Linked DNA regions of Drosophila melanogaster. The protein of the gene in region 4 purifies or fractionates together with the protein of the main gene of each other region. This does not show direct contact. Each region holds a gene or a part of one and is shown on either strand. Other genes may lie near its edges. The genes, in order: wek, kek6, spz5 and Toll-6.

The links.
Region 1: the proteins of Toll-6 (region 4) and wek purify together in Drosophila melanogaster (affinity purification with western blotting, with the first as the bait; one study listed by BioGRID). This does not show direct contact.
Region 2: the proteins of Toll-6 (region 4) and kek6 purify together in Drosophila melanogaster (affinity purification with western blotting, with the first as the bait; one study listed by BioGRID). This does not show direct contact.
Region 3: the proteins of Toll-6 (region 4) and spz5 purify together in Drosophila melanogaster (affinity purification with western blotting; one study listed by BioGRID). This does not show direct contact.

Annotation. Positions count from the first base shown.
Region 1 is NT_033779.5:15,765,633-15,770,251, reverse strand, and holds wek (weckle), read left to right. Parts: upstream 1-1,902; 5' UTR 1,903-2,020; coding exon 2,021-2,146; intron 2,147-2,206; coding exon 2,207-3,112; intron 3,113-3,172; coding exon 3,173-3,519; intron 3,520-3,583; coding exon 3,584-3,617; 3' UTR 3,618-4,119; downstream 4,120-4,619. Other genes in the region: Ku80, read left to right, coding at 1-1,513; CG3793 (uncharacterized protein), read right to left, coding at 4,541-4,577. UniProt on the Drosophila melanogaster protein: Acts as an adapter to assemble/stabilize a Toll/wek/Myd88/tube complex; required for efficient recruitment of Myd88 to Toll. Dispensable for innate immune response; plays a minimal role, if any, in the immune defense against Gram-positive bacteria and fungi.
Region 2 is NT_033777.3:31,620,259-31,625,292, forward strand, and holds the start of kek6 (kekkon 6), read left to right. Parts: upstream 1-1,877; 5' UTR 1,878-2,564; intron 2,565-5,034. Other genes in the region: pasha (partner of drosha), read left to right, coding at 1-201, 258-512, 572-859.
Region 3 is NT_037436.4:2,889,129-2,894,166, reverse strand, and holds the start of spz5 (spatzle 5), read left to right. Parts: upstream 1-2,000; 5' UTR 2,001-2,300; intron 2,301-4,921; 5' UTR 4,922-5,003; coding exon 5,004-5,038. UniProt on the Drosophila melanogaster protein: Neurotrophin which may function as a ligand for the Toll-related receptors Toll-6 and Toll-7. Binds to Toll-7 and Toll-6, and probably acts as their ligands in the promotion of motor axon targeting and neuronal survival in the central nervous system (CNS).
Region 4 is NT_037436.4:15,334,828-15,339,790, forward strand, and holds the start of Toll-6 (Toll-6), read left to right. Parts: upstream 1-1,864; 5' UTR 1,865-2,397; coding exon 2,398-4,963.

The DNA.
Region 1 (4,619 bases), on a different chromosome or scaffold from region 4:
TCCTCGCTGCAATGCGACGTTGTGCAGCTTCAAGGAGGCACTGCATACCGTCTTCAAGGTGACCAACCGGCGACCCTGGGTGTGGAACGCAAAGCTGAACATCGGCAGCAAGATCTCCATTAGCCTGCAGGGCATAATCGCCATGAAGAACCAGACGCCCGTAAAGCTGGTAAAGGTCTGGGCGGAAAAGGATGAGATAGTGATACGGGAGACTCGTCATTATATCAAAGGCACTGAGATCACCCCGCTGCCGGAGAATCTGATAACCGGTTACATGCTGGGCGGCACTCCGGTGCCATACGACGAGGCCGTGCTAGAGCCAAAGGAACCACACCCACCTGGTCTCCACTTCTTTGGCTTTATCAAAAGAAATGCCGTGCCGGATGAGTACTTTTGTGGCGAGTCCTTGTACCTCCTGGTGCATCAGAAGCACAATCAATCTGCCGCCGTGAAGCTGGACGCTCTGGTGCGTGCTCTCGTTTCTTCGGATCGGGCCATACTGTGCTGGAAAATATATAGCACCAAGTTTAATAGACCGCAAATGGTTGTGCTACTGCCCCGCTTAGCAGACGATACCCATCCGGCTACTTTGTATATGCTGGAAGTTTCCTATACGTCTCAGCACCACTTCTGGGACTTTCCGGCACTGCGAACCACCAAGACGGAGTGCAGCGAGGAACAGCTGAATGCCATTGATCAGTTAATCGATAGCACCGATCTGGAGTGCACACTGCGGGACACGCAGCAGCCACGTCCGTGGGCGCAGAATGATCTGCTGCCGTTCGACGCACTTCCCAGCATCTTTGAGCAGAATGTCATGGACATCCTAGAGCGAAAAGTTATCTATGATAACGACAAGGAAGACAAAATGCTTAAGGACAAAAACTTCGCAGATGTATTCTGGCGAGTGCCAGATCCCTTGGAGGAGAAGTCAAAGAGAGCGGCAGCCATCGTAAAGAAGCTATTTCCATTGCGCTATAGTCGCGCCTGGCAGGAAAAGCTGTTGGCCAAGGAGCAGGCAGAGAATGGTGTGGCAGTCAAGTCGGAACCAGCGGAGAAGGAAATCCCGTTGCCATCAGACGGTGTGGGCTTAATTGATCCAATCTCTGATTTCAGGCGAGTCCTGGCTAGCGTTCACACAATCAGTAATGCCACTGAGCGAGATGCCCGCTTTCAGGCGCTGGCTGCCGATACCCGCGTGGTGATCATCACACTGCTGCAGCGCAGGAAACAGAACATCGGGCAACTGGGCGAGCTCATCACCCTGTACCGACAGAGCTGTATAGACTTCAACACCTTTTTGGAATACGACAAGTTCGCTGAGGAGCTGAAGAAGATCGCGCTGGCCAAGAATCGCAGCGAATTCTGGCAAGACGTTATGGTCGACAAGCAATTGGGCCCTTTGGTGCTTGGCGAGCCGACGCTGGACGACGAATTGGCTCTAAAAGCCTATTACACCATCGAGAATTGGGTGGAGAGTGGGGCGAACGATATGGAAGACGTTGAGATGTAGTTTATCATTCCATTTTGTTATATTAAGCAAATGTGCTAAAATTAGTTTTTGTTATACACAGTTTTTCTTATATGTAAGTCGAAAATAAATTATTATATTGTTTATATATATATACCAGAGTAAAAACTCGGTCGCATGTTTTAAAAACAACATTATATCCCTGGGAAACCACATCCAAATGATGATGATAATACATCTCTATGTTAATAAACATCGACACGCAGGAAGGAAAACGTTAGTAATACTTCTTATGATTGAGAAAAAAAAGTAAAATAAATACAATTTTCAATTCCAAATTTAAACTGAATACTTTTTGAAAATGGCGGCAACAACTTGTTGTTTTGCACTTATCGATATTTCCAAAAATCATCGGAGTGCGCATACCAATTAATCGATTCGGAATTCCGCTCCATACAGCTGATTTTAATCAGCGCTTTGGCAATAGAATTTAGTCAAAACCCGAGGGCATACTGTACCAAACTGTGGGGCTTCTGTTGAGGATTAGCCATGGGAGTTCCCACAAGCGATTGGATATACTGGTGTCGCCTGTGCGCCCGCGACGACGTTGTATACAAAGTGCGCGAGCGGGACGACGATCTGGTTAGGATTATCAGCAAATGCTTTGATGTGGAGGTATGTTATTCGTTTTCCCAGCCTACAGATAGCTTATACATTAGTTTTCCACACACGCAGATGACCCTCGAGGAACCGGAACTGGGCAGCATGTTGTGCGAGGAGTGCTACTCGGTGATTGGCCAGCTGATCACCTTCTCGGATAGCGTTTCCAAAGTACAAGCCATTTTTGAGCTTCTGCGACACTCGGAGCCGCAGGATAGCCAGGACTTGGACGCCCTGCGTCTGGAATACGGCCTTCCGCCGGCCTGCAAGCAGGACCTCGAGTTCCTGGACATAGACGATACGGAGGATAGGTGTTCCTTGGTAGAGGAGCTAACGATATCAGACCATTCCACATCTCCGTCACCCGATTTTGAAGCACAGACCGTGCGAACACGAGCTAATCTCAAACAGTGTAATTCCGATCCCAAAGTGCTAGCCTCACCTACTGCATCAATTCCTGAAGTTGAAACAAAACGAAGTCGCCGACAGCAGTTTGCGGCTAAGCGAAATTCCAAAGTGTACACTGCAACCGAGTCGGATGATGAGGAGGCCATTCTAGACGAAGACGAGGCCGTATCCCCGCCGCCTTTGAAGCGAAAAAGAGGCAGACCCAAGGGCTCAGGCAAACAGAAAAACGTGGACGACAGCGATAACGTAACTTCCCGCGAACCAGACGACAATGCTAAATCCAAACAAGATGACAAGACATCCGAATTGAGCATGTCACCCCATGGCTCCCAGAGTTCGAATTTCGTCGATTATCCCTGCAAAATCTGCAACGAAACCTTTATGTCCTTCATGGCTCTGCGCAGGCACAAGCACGACATGCACGGCGGTCCGAAGAAATACGTTTGCGATCACTGCGGAAAGGGTTTGAAGACCTTCACATCGCTGGTGGAGCACCAGCTGGTTCACACGGAAGAGAAGCCCTGTATATGCCCCGTCTGCAATGCTGGTTTTAAGAACAAAGCTAGGCTGAGAGTAAGTCATCGAATAATCTTGTGGACCAACTAAATCTTGAAATTTGTATACAATTTCCAGGTGCACAGTCAGACACATGGTGAGCCCAAGTTTGAGTGCAATGTCTGCGGCAAAAAGCTGCAGACACGGGCGATTCTTAACAAGCACAAGTATGTGCACACGGATGAGCGGCGCTTCAAGTGCGAGGTTTGTGGCAGCGGCTGTAAGAACTCCACGGCCTTGAAGATCCATCTCCTTGGACACACCGGCCTCAGACCCTACGTATGCAAGTACTGCGGAAAGGCGTTCGCCAGCAACACCAACTGTCGCTCCCACAAATGGAAAAAACATCCGGAACTGGCGTCCAAGGAGGATGAAACCGAATCTTCACGTGTTCCAGTGCCAACATTGGAAGAACTGAGAGCGATGTAAGCTATAGTCATGCATATTATTATTATTAGCTTACTATTGTACTAAATTTTTGGTTTGCAGAACTCGCGAGATGGCCAAGGCCAAACAGGATTAGACCATGTTGGTTGACAAAAATGTATAAATAGCAGTGCGCAGTAAAATTTTATCCCAGAGACATTTACATTTACACTTAATTAAACACACAACTGCCCTTTTTGCATTTAAATTGGTTTTTAATAAGTTTCAAAATAAATTCACTTTTTAAACGCACACTTAAATTGGGAAATGTGTTCACACATGAAAATGACATTGTATAAAAGATAATAATTGTTTGACTCACAATGTAGATTTAAAAATAACAATTGTAATTTGTGACACCAAATTATGCGTACACTTTGAAACACTCAATTGAAACTCCTGTGAGCGGTTGCAGCATATTTTAAAGATGAGCGCTATTCATAGAACTCCCACGCATGGTTCACTAGATTGCGACAAGTTGGTCTGTAGATAATTCCAAGGGCTTATTCACAATAAAATCAGTTTGAAATTATAACTCAGCAAATGTAAATGCTTCGTGCTAACACCAGATACATTGACACCTAATTAAACACACAACGGCCCTTTTTGCATTTAAGTTGGTTTTTTTTTTAATAATTTCAAAATACATTTACAATTTAAACGCACACTTAAATTGGGGAATGAATGAATGGCATATTGATCACCTATCAATATTTTGTGCCACAACTCGGTGATAAAATAGTAAATATTAAGCGATTAAATAATAAAAATGTAACAAGAGAAAAAAATATAAGGAACAACTAAATTAATACAAATTAGATCATTTGTGAGTGGGTCTCTGTGTAGGATAAATATCTAAACATGTTTTGATTTCGATGGTTTCTCTTTAATTACTTGCTGTTTAGGTTAACACGTTGAGAAGCAAAATATTTTGGCATGGCCTTCCTCCAAACCGAGCAGAGTCAATAAATAGTGCATCCAAGTAGGTTGGCTCTCTATCCCTTCCACCTTCACTCACTCCTAGTCAATGTTCAGCGAGGACATTAACTCTTCGACGCTGCATGGAAATAGAGGAAAGAAAAAATCATGTTGATTAAAC
Region 2 (5,034 bases), on a different chromosome or scaffold from region 4:
GCAGCCACGCCTTACTCCGCCACCGTATCGGTGAACAATCTCAAGTATGGCACGGGCTATGGCACCAGTAAAAAGCAGGCCAAGTCAGAGGCGGCTCGGGAAACGCTGGAAATACTCATTCCCGATGTCAAGGACAAGATAACGGGCAACAATAAGGACCAAAAGAGCGGCACTGCGAAGAAAGCGCAGAGCGATCTGTCTGTAAGCAATCTACCTATAGAAAATGGAACCACTTCTTATTTTTATATTTCTTGCAGGTTTTCGATGACATCCGCATCGAAGATCCCCGAGTCACCGAATTCTGCAACAAGACGACGGAGCCATCTCCCAACGCCATTCTGCTGACTTGCTTGCAGCGCAACTACGGCAGCGATGTTCAGATCAGCCAGGAGATCAACCGCACCGCGAATAACAAGAACGAGTTTACCATGACCGTGGGCAAACATACTGCCAAAGTGGTGTGTAAAAACAAGCGGGAGGGCAAGCAGTTGGCTTCGCAAGCAATCCTCCAGGTGAGCATTGATATTTCTTTATAACTTTACTTATAGCTATTGAGTTAACCTTTCGTCAGATTTTGCATCCGCACATCCAGACCTGGGGTTCCTTGTTGCGCCTCTACGGCAACAACTCCATAAAGACCTTCAAGGAGAAGAAGCTGGAGGAGCAGGAGATCACCGTGCTGCAGAGCAAGGCGGCAGTCAACCAACCCAACTACGCCATACTGGACAAACTTAAATCCGAGATGTTGAAACTGTGTGCCAAGCAGGAGAGCGTCCTAACCATGGGCACTTTTGTGCCGCCAAGCGACGTCGATCTGCCCACTTCCTCCGGGTCCAATTTGAACAACGTGGAACTTTGATTGGGAAACACACATCTCTCTCGCCAACATTGATTCTCTAGTAGTGCATGACAACCTCCTAGTCTCTTAGTTACCCACCCATTTCCATATTCGAAAAGCTAATGACAACAACGACGCGTTCTCTAGAGGCATACGAACTGATTTCAAATCGGCTTCATCTATCTGAGCTGGTTAATCTGAAGTGGCTTTAGCAAGTGGCCAAAAATGAAGAACAATTGCCTATCAAGTGGTTTTACATTAAGGTAAATTCATCACTAAATTTGCCAAATATAAGTAGTTCATGCTTGCAATAGCTAAGATTAGGGGTTCAATTTCACTTGTATAATATAAGCTTGAATAAAATACTATTAAAAACGCAGTCCTTTATATTTGAGTATAGAGATGTTCGTCTAAGATCTTTATCTGCAATACCAATTAAAAAAGTAGAGTTCTTAAGTATTTGACAACTATTCATTTGGGCAGACAGCAGGACAATTATTTGCTCATGATTTGTTTATCAAATTTCCTCGTAAATCTTCTCGTATCGCTTTCATTCTTGGAACGTTCAAACACCATTGACCCGTAACCAATTTGGAAGACATTTTAAAAAGTCGTATGGAATATAAAAAAATGCATATTTACATGGCCATTAGGATTCTCGGGTGTTTTTAGGCGGTCGGTCGTTAGGTGAGTGGATGTTAATATTTAAGGCGGTGGGCAGGGTGTAGGTTCGTAGGTGTGTGTGCGTGCAATTATTTAAAAGACGATGCAGTCATAAATTATGCTACATTTTCATTTCATTCTAACGTTTCCTTTTTTATAGCATTCCAACGAGCGTGGCACACACACATACCCACCACGGAGAATGCGGAGAGACAGTCGCAGAGAGAAAGTCCGAGAGAGAGAGCGCGGGAGAGCGGCGCAGGCGCAGATCCCGGATTTTGCGCAGCAGCCATGCTGCGAGATGAATTGTGGCGAGTTCTGACTTGCCAATTCGCAGGCCATATCTGTATCTTCAGTACGGATTCTTCGCGTGGCGAGAAAACCACTTCCCGGCGCTCCTATCCTCAGGACTTTCGTCTGGGATTTGTAATTGAATCACAGTAACTCGGGACAGACCGAAAAAAAAAACGGGGAGAAAAACAGAAAGCCAAGAGGTGAATTCGGTGGTACAGCTGAAAAAAGGCCAACTGCAGTGCAGAGCAGAATCATTTTTATTGACATTCATCTTAGTTGCCCCCTCATCCCTCGGTGCCCCCAAAAAAACCAACTTCATAGCCCCCCAGTTCCTCGATTCTCGACTCTCGACGTTCGATTCCCGGTGCTCGTGTGTCGCGTGTTGCAAGTGCGTGGGTCGCGCGTCAAATCAGTGGATGTAGCAAGCGGTACGACACGCGCGCCGTTTTTGATTTTTCGCCCAGCGGCCCAGAAATCGGGCCTGGGAAAAAAGTGCGGATATTCGGTGAAAGACGGAGCACTCGGAAAATAAACGGAAAATCGGGTACACACACGCACTCCTGTACACCGTGTCCAATGCATTTGGCCCGCTTGGCCCAAGCACTCGGAGATATGTAAATTATGCCAAATTCCATTGGAATTTCCGTCAGAGCCAGTGAATCGGTAAGCAGCAGCCGCCGGAGCAGCAGAAGGCGGAGGACGCAGGACGCAGGACGCAGGAGCAAGCCAGTAGCAGCAACAAGGACTGGAGCAACAGCAGTAGGCGAAGGTAAGCGGTAGCGCATTAGGCGCCAAGTGTCAGCGGAGAATGCTGGAAAATTCAATAATCCGCCGCAGGGCGCCCGTTTGTCCCCCTCGTGCCACACGTCCTCCTCGCCGTCCGCCTGCCCGTCTGCCCGAAAAACCCACTCCACGCTTGCCATCTGGGCGCATACCGAATGAACTCGTGCACGGGCAGAAAAAAGTGGATACTACTTTATTTTGGACTGAAAAATTGATGGTGGAATTGTGCTTTACGGTCATTGTCTTGGAGTTTGTGCAATTTTGTGAATTTCCATCCAACGTGTTCCCAAATAAATCCCTACGGCTCAAATGGAAATGGGGTATCGGCTCTTCAAACCCCAAATCCACATCCTTTTTCACAAGGAGAGGCGGTATTATTTATCTTACATTATCGTATAATGGCATATACATATGTATCTGTAGGCGTGTGTTAATTGAATTGCAATATTTGGGAATTTTATGGCGCCGCAAAACAACAGGAAGGGTTGAGTAAATATTGGCAGAGTAATCCACAGAGCGAAGCTGCCAGCTTTTTCTCCTTGTGCACTTACATGGCACATATAGGATACTCGCTCGGCTCTGGCGTAGTCTGTTGCGTCCAAAAGTAGGTTGACTTCGGTCTGGCCGGGTTTTCGGGATTGGATGGGATGGGATGGGGTCTGTTCTGCTTTGCGTTTGGCGATGGCTTTGTTGCCGCTCGATATTCGTTTAGTTTCTATTTCTTTTGCTGTTTCGGTTTCGTTTTCACTTCCAGCTAATTTCGGTGAAATAAAGAGATGAAGAGTAAATAAGAAGTCGGGCGGAGTGAGGACGAATTGGGGGAGCGCCACTTCCCGCGGGAGAAAGTGTCCTTCCTTTGAAGTTGTGCTAAGTAAATCCAGGTAATGCTGCCCAGGACCGCAGGCTTCCATTTTGGGGATTCCTTTCAAGGACTTCTTGAGGAAACAGACGAATTATAGACCCTTTCTAATACATTTTCTTTTCCGGGCTTCCGATGGGTTCGCCTCCTTCTTCAATATAAAAAAACAAAATTTCTCTAAGTTTCGTTCAATTCGGGTTGACAACATCCATTGGATGCAAGAATGTTGGGTTCGAGTAAAAGTTTCTTCCCCATTTACACCTAGTAACTGTGCCAAAAATCGATTATAGAGACCCTTGCTTTATGTTTTCCTAATTCCAATTGATGTGTCTGTTAACTGAGTTGAAAGTAATACTCGTTTAAGTTCTAGCTGAGACAAATGGCAAATACGTTTATCTGCAAGGATTTGCCCTTAATTGCCTTCCCAAAATGCTTTCAACTTGAAGGCATTTAAATCTTGCTTTGCCATTTTGTGGCTTTGTGGCCAAAGCTCTTTTTTACTTAGCCAGATTTTTCCATAACAAAACAGATTTCAATGTTTTTCATGTGCACCATTTTTACAAATACAAAAACTGATTCGAAGTGGCTAAAAAGTCCGAAGAAGGCAGCTCACGTAAGCTTTCCTTTTAATAATGCTCACATTCCCCGAAAGTTTGTTTTAATTAATATTCCGAAATGCTAAACAGACGAAACCAGACAAACAAGCCAGCGAAAATATTTATACAAACCTGAAAGTAAGTTCCCTCGGCTGGAGCCAAAATTTCAAGGGATGCGTAAACTTGGCAGTGAGTCCTGCCCCTCCTCCTCCGCATGCCAAATTCTCGTTTGCGGGTTGCAATGGCAACGATCTGGGAACGATGGCACCGCAAGGTGTCCTTTGATGTCTGATAAGCAAATCCCGGCAATGTGACACCTTCGGCTCAATGGATGACCGACCCGTCGTCACCCATTTTCCATCCTCCATCTTCCATTTCGCATTTCCCACAAAGCGAGCGACCACCAAGAAATCGGAAAATCGGGGGAGCGGTGCGAGTACTTAATAATGCAAATACCCACAAAAACTTTTTGGGGGTTGGGGTCCTGAAAAATTCCAAGAGGGGCTTATCAAATTCTTCGAATGGCTTTGCCCAAAATAGAAAAGTAAGCCAGAAAAATCGCATTCACTCAGTGGCGCTCGACTGTCGGCCAATTTGGCGTGCTAACAAATTATCGCTGGCCGGGAAAATCAATAAGCATTAATCTTGTGGCGATTTTGTCTATATCCCGCACATTATTTGCATAGTTAATGGCCAGGACCACGGGTGCCGTTGGCCATTCAACCGACCACCGACCACCGACCACCGGCAACCAACAACCGATGGGTTTAAGTCCGAGTGGTTGGGCAATTGTTAAAATCGTTGTCCGCCGGACGAGGTGATTATAGCCACTTGTAGTTATGATTGGGGAATCGATTTCAGGCGAAAACCGTAAGCTCCTGCCGTTTACTTAACTGGAAAGTCGGACGGATTCGTCTGCATTTGCATTTGTATAATTAAAACCGATGTAGAACTCTGGAGCCCCGGGCGAATTGTGATTGTTCGAGTGTTTGGCTTCCTGG
Region 3 (5,038 bases), about 12 Mb from region 4:
AAAATTAAGATAATTATTAAAAAATTTTCTTAATTATTTGGAGTATTAAAATTGATAATTAGTAAAATTGGTCCGGGTTTTTAATCAACATATAAACAATAAATAAACAAACTTGTGTAATATTACTTAGCTTCTGTCAGCTAGCAATCGAAGATCACAACCAAAAGGCGAAACGACCGAGTTTTTCTAGCGTTTTCGAGGCGGTTCCGATACGTTTCTTGGTTTAGAGGAGATACTTCATAAAATAGGCCGATCTTTAAGCGGATCGACCCTAAGCACCTTTAGCCATTACGTCACGGGCAGCGGGTGATGTTCGGCGAGCTAGTGGGCCAAAAATAATGGAAAAGAGGTACAAATTGCCCAGGGCAATCGACGGCTTTAATGGTTTCATTGGCCAACCGGCGGCATTGAGTTGGTGGACCCAGCCCCTAATTAACCCTTTCGCAATTGCAGCTAAGCCTTAAAACGGCGGTGGGAAGTTGGGGGAGTGGCCCCTCCACGTGTTATATACATATGTAGCCGCGATAGTTTTAGGTATAAAATGATACCTTTGGTCCCGATACCTTGGGCTCGGAGTTTGATTAATGAGCGGCTTAAGTGAATCTCAAATCGAATCTGAGCCTGCTCGGCCGGCAGACTGATGAAGTCACTAATTTGACTTAAAAACGCATTAAAAACCATTTTCGATAAGAGCTTGGAGCCCCATATTGTGATTTCGGCGAGGGTTTTCCCGTACTTTTCTGTCTAGGTCTCGTCTTTGTGAAAGTTGTGCAAAATTGGAGCCAAGAAACCAAAATTGAACGATGAAGCACCCAAGGCGACGGATAAAATTCCAAAACCGCCTCGGAAGATTTGAGAGTGCAAATCTCTTGCTATTGGCAATCAGCTGTAAACATAAATAATGTTCGAGTTTGCGGAGAGTGGACTAACTGGATACCCAGTGAGTAAATCATGTAACCATACTCATTTTTATCACTAATTATCGAATTTAAATAATTCATTTCATTTTCTGAAAATCTTGAAAATCTTACTAGATATATTTCGGTCTATTTGGCTTATACTTTGAACCATAAAAATAATTTAGGCCTTTGATAGTTTAAAACTATTTTACGGTATACATCTCTTTCAACCTTTTTAAAAATTAAATTTATTTGTTTTTTTCTAATTATGTACACACATATTGCATATTCAATACTTTAAAATAAATTGACAGAGAAATTACTGCTCAGCGCTTTCTTCTTGGTTAAAAAGTATTGTAAATATTTATTAGGAATGAAAAAAAAAAAAATAATTCCCAATATACCTGTGCTGAAATATTACCCATAATTCCAGCTTTGGCAACGCGCAAAATTGATTTAAATGCCTTCGACGAGAGACAAAATCGGAGGTAACTCCTACAATTGTGCGTGGTCTTGGCCATTAAAAGCCTTTTCTTGCCAACATTCAATGTCTGTGCCGGAGGCAGCGCCAAATCAAATCAACGGCAGCAGTCACAAATCTGCGACAGATAAAAGCTGTTAACTGACCTTCATTGGCCATAAAAATCCAAATTCATCGCCCGAACAATGCGCCGTATCTATGGGCCAAAACCGGCGGCAACGACGAACAACAATTGGCGAGCAGAAAAATTAACAATTTAAATAAATTCACTTTATTGCAGTTCGCATATTGGCGACAATGTAAAATAAACAATAAAAGTGGTCAATAAATAAGGCCCACGTCATATCGAATGGCCCGAACCACTGGACTTCCGGTCTTGAATCGGGCCAAAAAAGAAAAAGAAAACCGCACCACATATCACATTATACTATGTGGCCAACGACATGAATCACGGGCCAAAAAGTTCAAAGTTGAGCGGGCTAAATTGAGAGATTAGCCTGGGAGATCAGAGCCGGCTATATCTTTTGCTATATAGCTCTGCTCTGACCCAAGCTCTGCTTTTCTCTGCCTCTTTTCCCGAGTTTGCGGCTCTGGGCCGCTGTTAACTTGGCTAAGACCGCTCAGTTGGCTACGAGCTGCCGCCGTGAGCATTGGCAAACGCGTGAAACGGAAAAGACGAAAACGAAATCGAAATCGAAAACCTAAAGTCCAAAAACCGAAATATCCGCGCTCTTCGGTACGTGTTAAGTTTTTTAATTAGTAGAATTTTCAAGTGAGTGTTCGGTGGCAAAAAAAGAGAAAATATTTCACTGAAATACAAAGAGCATAGCTAAGCTCGACAAAAGTGCACATAGTGATCAAAAACATTTGCCAAATACTGTGAAGCAAAAACCCAAACAAATCTACAAGCCGCACACTAGGTGAGTAATTATTAAATTGAATACTTTAATTCCCGCCATAAGTTAATAAATTTCATTGGTTCGTCATCGCAGCTCTGATTTATTATAACGCTTGATTGTTTTCCTTCTTTTTGTATACACTTGTAACCAAAATGTTAGGAAACCAGCAAACACAAATTAAATCAAAGCGATCACAAAACAAAATCCACAAAAAATGCAGACAACACTTTGGGTAAATACAAACAAAATATAATCAAGTGGGGAGAAAAAACCTTGAAAAGTCGTGCTTAATTTCTTAGCTAAATGCAGGCATAAAATATATGTTTAAAAAATTATAATGAAGCTCAGCTATTTGTCTGCCTCCAATCGAATCCATTGTTTTAGTCCCTAAATTAGCTTCAAATAACCCAACCTCTTTGTGAAGGAAAATAATTCAGAGGCTTTGGAAAAAATGCCCGAAGCAGAAGTCTGTCTCTTTGATAGTTTATTTAATGGATAGAAGTAAGGATAGATATTGTGGAAAGTATACAAGTTTACCAATTAAATAAACTAGAGAGCTTAAAACTTTCCTGTGTCAAACACTCGCGTAATAAAAACTTAATAAGCAATCATTATTATTAAATAGCTTTATAATTAATTAGCAGCATTTCGTTTCATTCAGCTCTTTTTTTTAGCCTGCTAATGCTTCAATTAGATGCCAACAAAATATTTTATCCCCTTAAAAAAGTGCCAATCGGGTGAATAAGTGAGAATGTCTGGGCGAGACAAAGATAAAGATCTGACAATCGATCATTACTCAGGCGGGATATAATTAATTAAATATAGATAGATGATTTTGCGGCCAAATCATTCAAATAAATTGAATGGGGCCCAGCGATTTTGAGCACTCAATTTCGAAAATGATGCCGCAGCCAATGGATTAGCCGCTAAAGCTTGGTCAAAGATCTTTAACAATTTCATTAACTTTTGGCCCGTCGGCCTAATGATGTGCAAATGGCCCAAAACACACCATAAAACACGCTGCCACTAAAGTTGCCAAGGGAAACAATGCCAAAACCCATGTCCAACTTCTTTTGGCTGCTCTGTGATTTATGAGGTGATCGCCTGGCGCAACTTTGGCATCGGGGAAATACCAGCAATACGTGGGTGTAGCCATGTGCAAGACTCCATTAGCAGATCGCAGACACTAAATCTGGCTTCGATGCACAGCAGAAAACATGGTTGGAAACGTGGTTTCAAAATACCTAAGCTATTTTAATCTCAGAGAAATATGTGTTATTATATGTATATATAAAATTGTATAAGCATTTAAAGCCCAGCTCAACTACTAAACAACATTTTGTGTTTCAAACTTCTGTTTGATACTTTAATATGCCGTGAATGTTCATTTATTATAATTGTTTTCTTTATTTTTTCATTTTTAATATTATTAATATAATTATTTCCTGTGTACCTTGACGGACACTTTGTCATTGGCTCTTGTTTGTTGACTGATTTGTTTTGCTTGGCTCGTGCAAAAGAGCCTGTGATCCCGGAAATCCTATCGCAGCTTGTGGCAGGTGTTTTTGTATCGGTATAAATTCCAATTGATTCTTGAATGCTCGCTGTTTTTACAGGCACCCCATGTCTGAGTGTTAAAGGCAATTGTTATTGCTTTTTGTTCTATAAATAATTGTGGTACACATTATATTGAAACTATAGCAAAACTTGACACGAAATCCGGTTTTTACCATTGACTGTGACAGCTTTAGATTTGATCACTTGTTAGCATTGTTACATTATAATAATTAAAATATTTGTATAACATTTTTTGTTAATTTTTAGCTCACTTTCGTTAGTTATGTCAGCTGTTAATTAACATTTAATTACGGGATTTTTAATTTTCCCAGATTTTAAAAGTTGATTTCATACGGGAAACATGTTGGGAATTTTTCTTTGAGCTTCTTGTTCATATAAAAGCATTGCTAACTATCGAAATCTAGTCAAAGTTATCTCATAGTTTCCGCAATAAAAACTGCTTGTATTATTATATATATATTCTCTCCAACAGTTGGTAATATATCACTTTAAATATGCAAAATATCTTGCATTGATCTAAACTTAAATTGTCTATAAAACATCCGATTTAAATACCGGCATATTGAAATTCCGTTTTAGAGTCCTAATAAATCATTAGAGTTTATAAGTATTGTCATTAGCTGACAGCTCGGGTCGCCAATTGAGAACGCCCCCACAATGCATGGGGCGTGTCCAGTCCATTATCTTCGCGGCGTATACTTAATCTGCGTATACTTAATCTTGTTGTCTGGAGCTTGTTCGTCACTTTCACTTTTGGCAATTTATTTTCGCTATTTACGGGAGTTGTTCGAGTTGTTTGGCTGTTGTTTGCTCAAGAGGCTGTCGGTGGTGTAGTTCGTGTTTGTGTTATTGTTTTAGTTGTTGATTGTTTAACTTAACAATAAGCCCAAGTGAACTGTGGGCAACAAATAAGCACTTTGAAGCATTTCCGCTGCGGAAAAACCATCACTTATTGTCTGTTTCGTGTCCCAATGGAAATGGTGCGAGAAATGGTCGTGTATTTGCCATTTTTTTGCGACTAATATTTGACCAAATAACTCATGGCAGTTTCTCTTTCGCTTCAGGTTTCCGAATTCACGTTGAAGACACTGGCTGAATCGCAATCGAGTCAAATGCAAATGCAAATCGACGGCGAATGAATTGACAATGACAAAAAGTATTAAACGTCCGCCCCCCTTTAG
Region 4 (4,963 bases):
CACAAAACCTCGTCCTTGCCGCCATTTACATTTGAAAGAGCCTGCGAAAGCCTGAAGGTGAGTAAAATAAGGGGTGCACTGAAGGAAAATCTTGTGAATAAAACAGTAATACATCCCTGTACAAGAGTAATTGGTAAAAGAAAAACATCATGTGCCTAAATAACTAATATTTTTAGCGAATATCTTACTGAGAAAATCTCTCAAATTAAGACTGAACTGCAATAGTTTTCTTCACTGTGCAGGAGGCTTATTAGACTTGGCTGCTGTTCGTGGCTCTGCTGCTGCTCCTGCTGGTGATATAATTTTAATAACTTACATAATATATTCTTTTGTGTGGCCAAGCCACATAATTGTTAGAAACATTAGGCAAATCATTACCCCAGCACGAAAAATGGGTGGGAGGCGTTCTGTTGGCTGACGCAATTTGGCAAAAATGTTTTTGTGTTTGCTTTTAGTGGCGACAAAAAGATCCTTAGCCACAACACCCATGGATATGGGAAAACTTTCAAGCCAGCTAAGAAATATTAGCCCAAGATAAAGTGTCCAGGGCAGCTGTTTTTCTTGGGAATTAGTCATGAAAGACCCGAAGTTTATCAAGGTTACCATGCCGTGGTAATCGCCATTGAATTTGTTGGCGGTGATCCATCAATATTTCTGCTTTCACCCAAATATTGAACAATCAAAATACATACATGCCGGAGGTTAACGAAATAAGGAACAATAGACAGTCTTCTTTGTAAATTAACCCTTGGAAAATTTCCTTGATAGATTGATTTCTTTTTCGAGATACCAGGACTACTTTAGGTAAGATTATAATACATTCATCAAAATCATAGGCGCGTGAAGCAAAAATTGTATATTTATTATTTGAAGTAGTAAAATGTTCCAAGTGTAATTAATCTCAAAGAAATATTAATTTAAGTCCAAAAGACAATAACATAATTCAAAATTTAAGTAACTACAAAAATCTGAATTTGCAGTGTGCGATTTAAGATATCCTATAAAAGGAGCTTTTTATAAAAACTCTGCTCACGAATTTTCATATTTGCTATTTCCAGCATCTCCCAATCGAGTCTAACCAAGTCCTTGCATAACTTTCCGGATTTGAGAACGAGGAATCCACAGAAATCCCCACACATCCAAAGCCCAACGAAACCCCATAATGCTGGCCCATAATCATTATCATTAACCTGATGGGGAAGACAGTTTTTTGCTGCTTTGCTGGGCGAAAAAGAAGTCATGAAACCACAGGAATTGTTACATGAGGCGCAAACAAAACAGTTTAATTAAAATTATTATTGTAATTTAATGGAATGTGAGGAATTATTATTTTTATACGGGTCTGGGCCCACGAAACAGGAGCAAAAAGCAGCCGAAGGACCTTCTCGGCACACCGACACACACATGCACATGGCATAAAAATAAATTACGTTTGTATGAAGATTGGCGCTGGCCCATGCACATCATATATTTTCATTATCAAAACAGAGACAGCAGAGAAGTCGCCGGTTGGCGGCGGGGGGTGCGGAGCTCTATCTCCGATTCGGCGGCAAAAAAATAAAGGATATACGAAATACGACGAAAAAAGACAGAGAAAATCAAAAGGAAAACACGAACGAACGCCAGCTGTTCGATGCGATTAGATGGAGAGAAAGAAAAACATTTTCCAGCATCCGTCGAGCCAGAGCGAATTTCCCTTTAGTCATACTCTCCGAAAACTCTCAGCATTTCCCGCCCGTGCAGAGCCTGTCGGCTGCTCTTCGTCTGTTTTCCAGCCCCCTTCGGCTCGCGTTCGGCTTTTCGGATTTTCGGGGTTTCGAGTTCGTGGACGACTCTCCATTTAAAAGAGAAGTTGCGCACGTTGCGGCAGTCAGTCGAAAATCAGCCAACGTGCGCGTTACATTACGAACCGGAAAATATCGACGCTGCTGCACCGCTCAAGTCCCAGAAAAAGTGGGTTCAGTTCAGCCAAATGAAAAAGTGATAATAGAAGTCGAGCCCGCAGCTAAATTGAAATTCATCAAAGGTTCCTATAACGCGACGTGTAATAAACAAAAACTTCGAAGCGAGTAATTCAAAGCGCCGAAACGAATAAAAAAGAAAAATTTAAATATAAAGAGGATAGAAAAGGCCAAGTGCTAGAAAATGTGCCGGGTGTAAGAGAGAAGAAAACACGGAGAGCATAATTAACTAAAGAATCGGGGGAAAATAAAGAAAATCTGGCTTGGAGTAGAGGGAGCACAGAAGCCGAAAATATGTGCGCAGACTTTTCTTTGGCCAGCCAGTGGAATTGATTTTCTTTTCGTTTCTCCCCAAGACCCCCGCTTGTACCGTCTTTCCCCCCTCCGCAAACCCATTTTCCGGTGCCTCCACGCAGCTAAACCGTGAATCGCCAAAATGATCTACTATATGCTACTCATACTGCCCGTGGTCCTGGCCCAGGATCAGCAGCACACCACGGAATCGCTGTCCACCAAGCACCACCAGCAGCAGCAGCTGTCGCACTCGAATGCGATAATGGGTGAGGCTGGGGTCTCCAACTCGCAGCTAATGCAGCCCTCGACTCCGGCGCGAACCCTGCGACCCTTGACCGCGGGCGCGGGTGGTGACCCTTCGCTGTATGACGCCCCCGACGACTGTCACTTCATGCCAGCAGCGGGTCTGGATCAGCCGGAAATAGCCTTAACGTGCAACCTGCGCACGGTGAACAGCGAGTTTGACACAACCAATTTCAGTGTTATACCCGCCGAGCACACGATTGCCCTGCACATACTGTGCAATGACGAAATCATGGCCAAGAGTCGCCTGGAGGCGCAATCTTTCGCCCATCTGGTTAGGCTCCAGCAGCTGTCCATCCAGTATTGCAAGCTGGGGCGACTGGGTCGCCAGGTTCTGGATGGTCTGGAGCAGCTGAGGAACCTGACGCTCCGGACGCACAACATCCTGTGGCCAGCGCTGAATTTCGAGATAGAAGCGGATGCCTTCTCGGTCACTCGGAGGTTGGAGAGACTGGACCTCAGTTCGAACAACATCTGGTCCCTGCCGGATAACATATTCTGCACCCTGTCCGAGTTGTCTGCCCTGAACATGAGCGAGAATCGCCTGCAGGACGTCAACGAGCTGGGCTTCAGGGATCGCAGCAAGGAGCCAACCAATGGTTCCACCGAATCCACCTCCACCACCGAATCGGCCAAAAAGAGCAGTAGCTCAAGCACCAGTTGTTCGCTGGACCTGGAGTACCTGGATGTGAGCCACAATGATTTCGTCGTGCTGCCAGCAAATGGATTTGGCACTCTGAGGAGGCTGCGAGTCCTTTCGGTCAACAACAATGGCATCTCCATGATTGCGGACAAGGCTCTCAGTGGACTGAAGAACCTGCAGATCCTGAACCTGAGCTCCAACAAAATCGTGGCCTTGCCCACAGAACTCTTCGCTGAGCAAGCCAAGATTATCCAAGAGGTGTACCTGCAGAATAATTCCATAAGTGTGCTGAATCCGCAGCTCTTCTCGAATCTGGACCAGCTGCAGGCCCTGGACCTGTCCATGAACCAGATAACCTCCACCTGGATCGATAAGAACACCTTTGTGGGTCTGATTCGTCTGGTTCTGCTTAATTTGTCGCACAACAAGTTGACCAAACTGGAGCCAGAGATCTTCAGCGACTTGTACACCCTGCAGATTCTTAATCTGCGTCACAATCAGCTGGAGAACATCGCAGCCGACACTTTTGCCCCGATGAATAATCTGCACACGCTGCTGCTGTCGCACAACAAACTGAAGTATCTGGATGCATATGCTCTGAACGGATTGTATGTACTGTCGCTGCTCTCGCTGGACAATAATGCGCTGATTGGCGTGCATCCGGATGCCTTCCGGAACTGCAGTGCCCTGCAGGACCTCAACTTGAATGGCAATCAGCTGAAGACAGTTCCGCTGGCCCTGAGGAATATGCGCCATTTGAGAACCGTGGATCTGGGCGAGAACATGATTACCGTTATGGAGGATAGTGCGTTTAAAGGTCTGGGAAATCTCTATGGTCTCCGCTTGATTGGCAACTACCTGGAGAATATTACGATGCACACCTTCAGGGATCTGCCTAATTTGCAAATCCTGAATCTCGCCAGAAACCGCATAGCAGTTGTGGAACCGGGGGCCTTTGAGATGACCTCGAGCATTCAAGCTGTGCGTTTGGATGGCAATGAGCTGAATGACATCAATGGCCTCTTCAGCAACATGCCCTCCCTTCTGTGGCTGAATATATCCGATAATCGTTTGGAATCCTTTGATTATGGACATGTGCCATCCACCCTGCAGTGGCTGGACCTCCATAAGAATCGGTTGAGTTCCTTATCAAATCGTTTTGGTTTGGATAGTGAGCTAAAACTACAAACTCTCGATGTGAGCTTTAATCAACTTCAGCGCATTGGACCCAGTTCCATACCAAACTCTATCGAACTGCTGTTCCTGAACGACAACCTGATAACCACCGTTGATCCAGATACCTTTATGCACAAAACCAATCTGACCCGGGTGGATCTCTATGCGAACCAAATCACAACGCTGGACATCAAGTCCTTGAGGATTCTGCCAGTTTGGGAACATCGAGCTCTGCCAGAGTTCTATATTGGTGGAAATCCCTTCACCTGCGATTGTAACATTGATTGGCTGCAGAAGATTAACCATATAACATCGAGGCAATATCCAAGGATTATGGATCTGGAGACCATATACTGCAAGTTGCTGAACAACAGGGAGAGGGCCTATATTCCCCTGATCGAAGCTGAACCCAAGCACTTTTTGTGCACCTACAAGACCCATTGCTTCGCCGTTTGCCATTGCTGTGAGTTCGATGCTTGTGATTGCGAGATGACCTGCCCCACGAATTGCACGTGCTTCCATGACCAAACCTGGTCCACAAATATTGTGGAGTGCTCGGGCGCAGCTTATTCTGAGATGCCGAGAC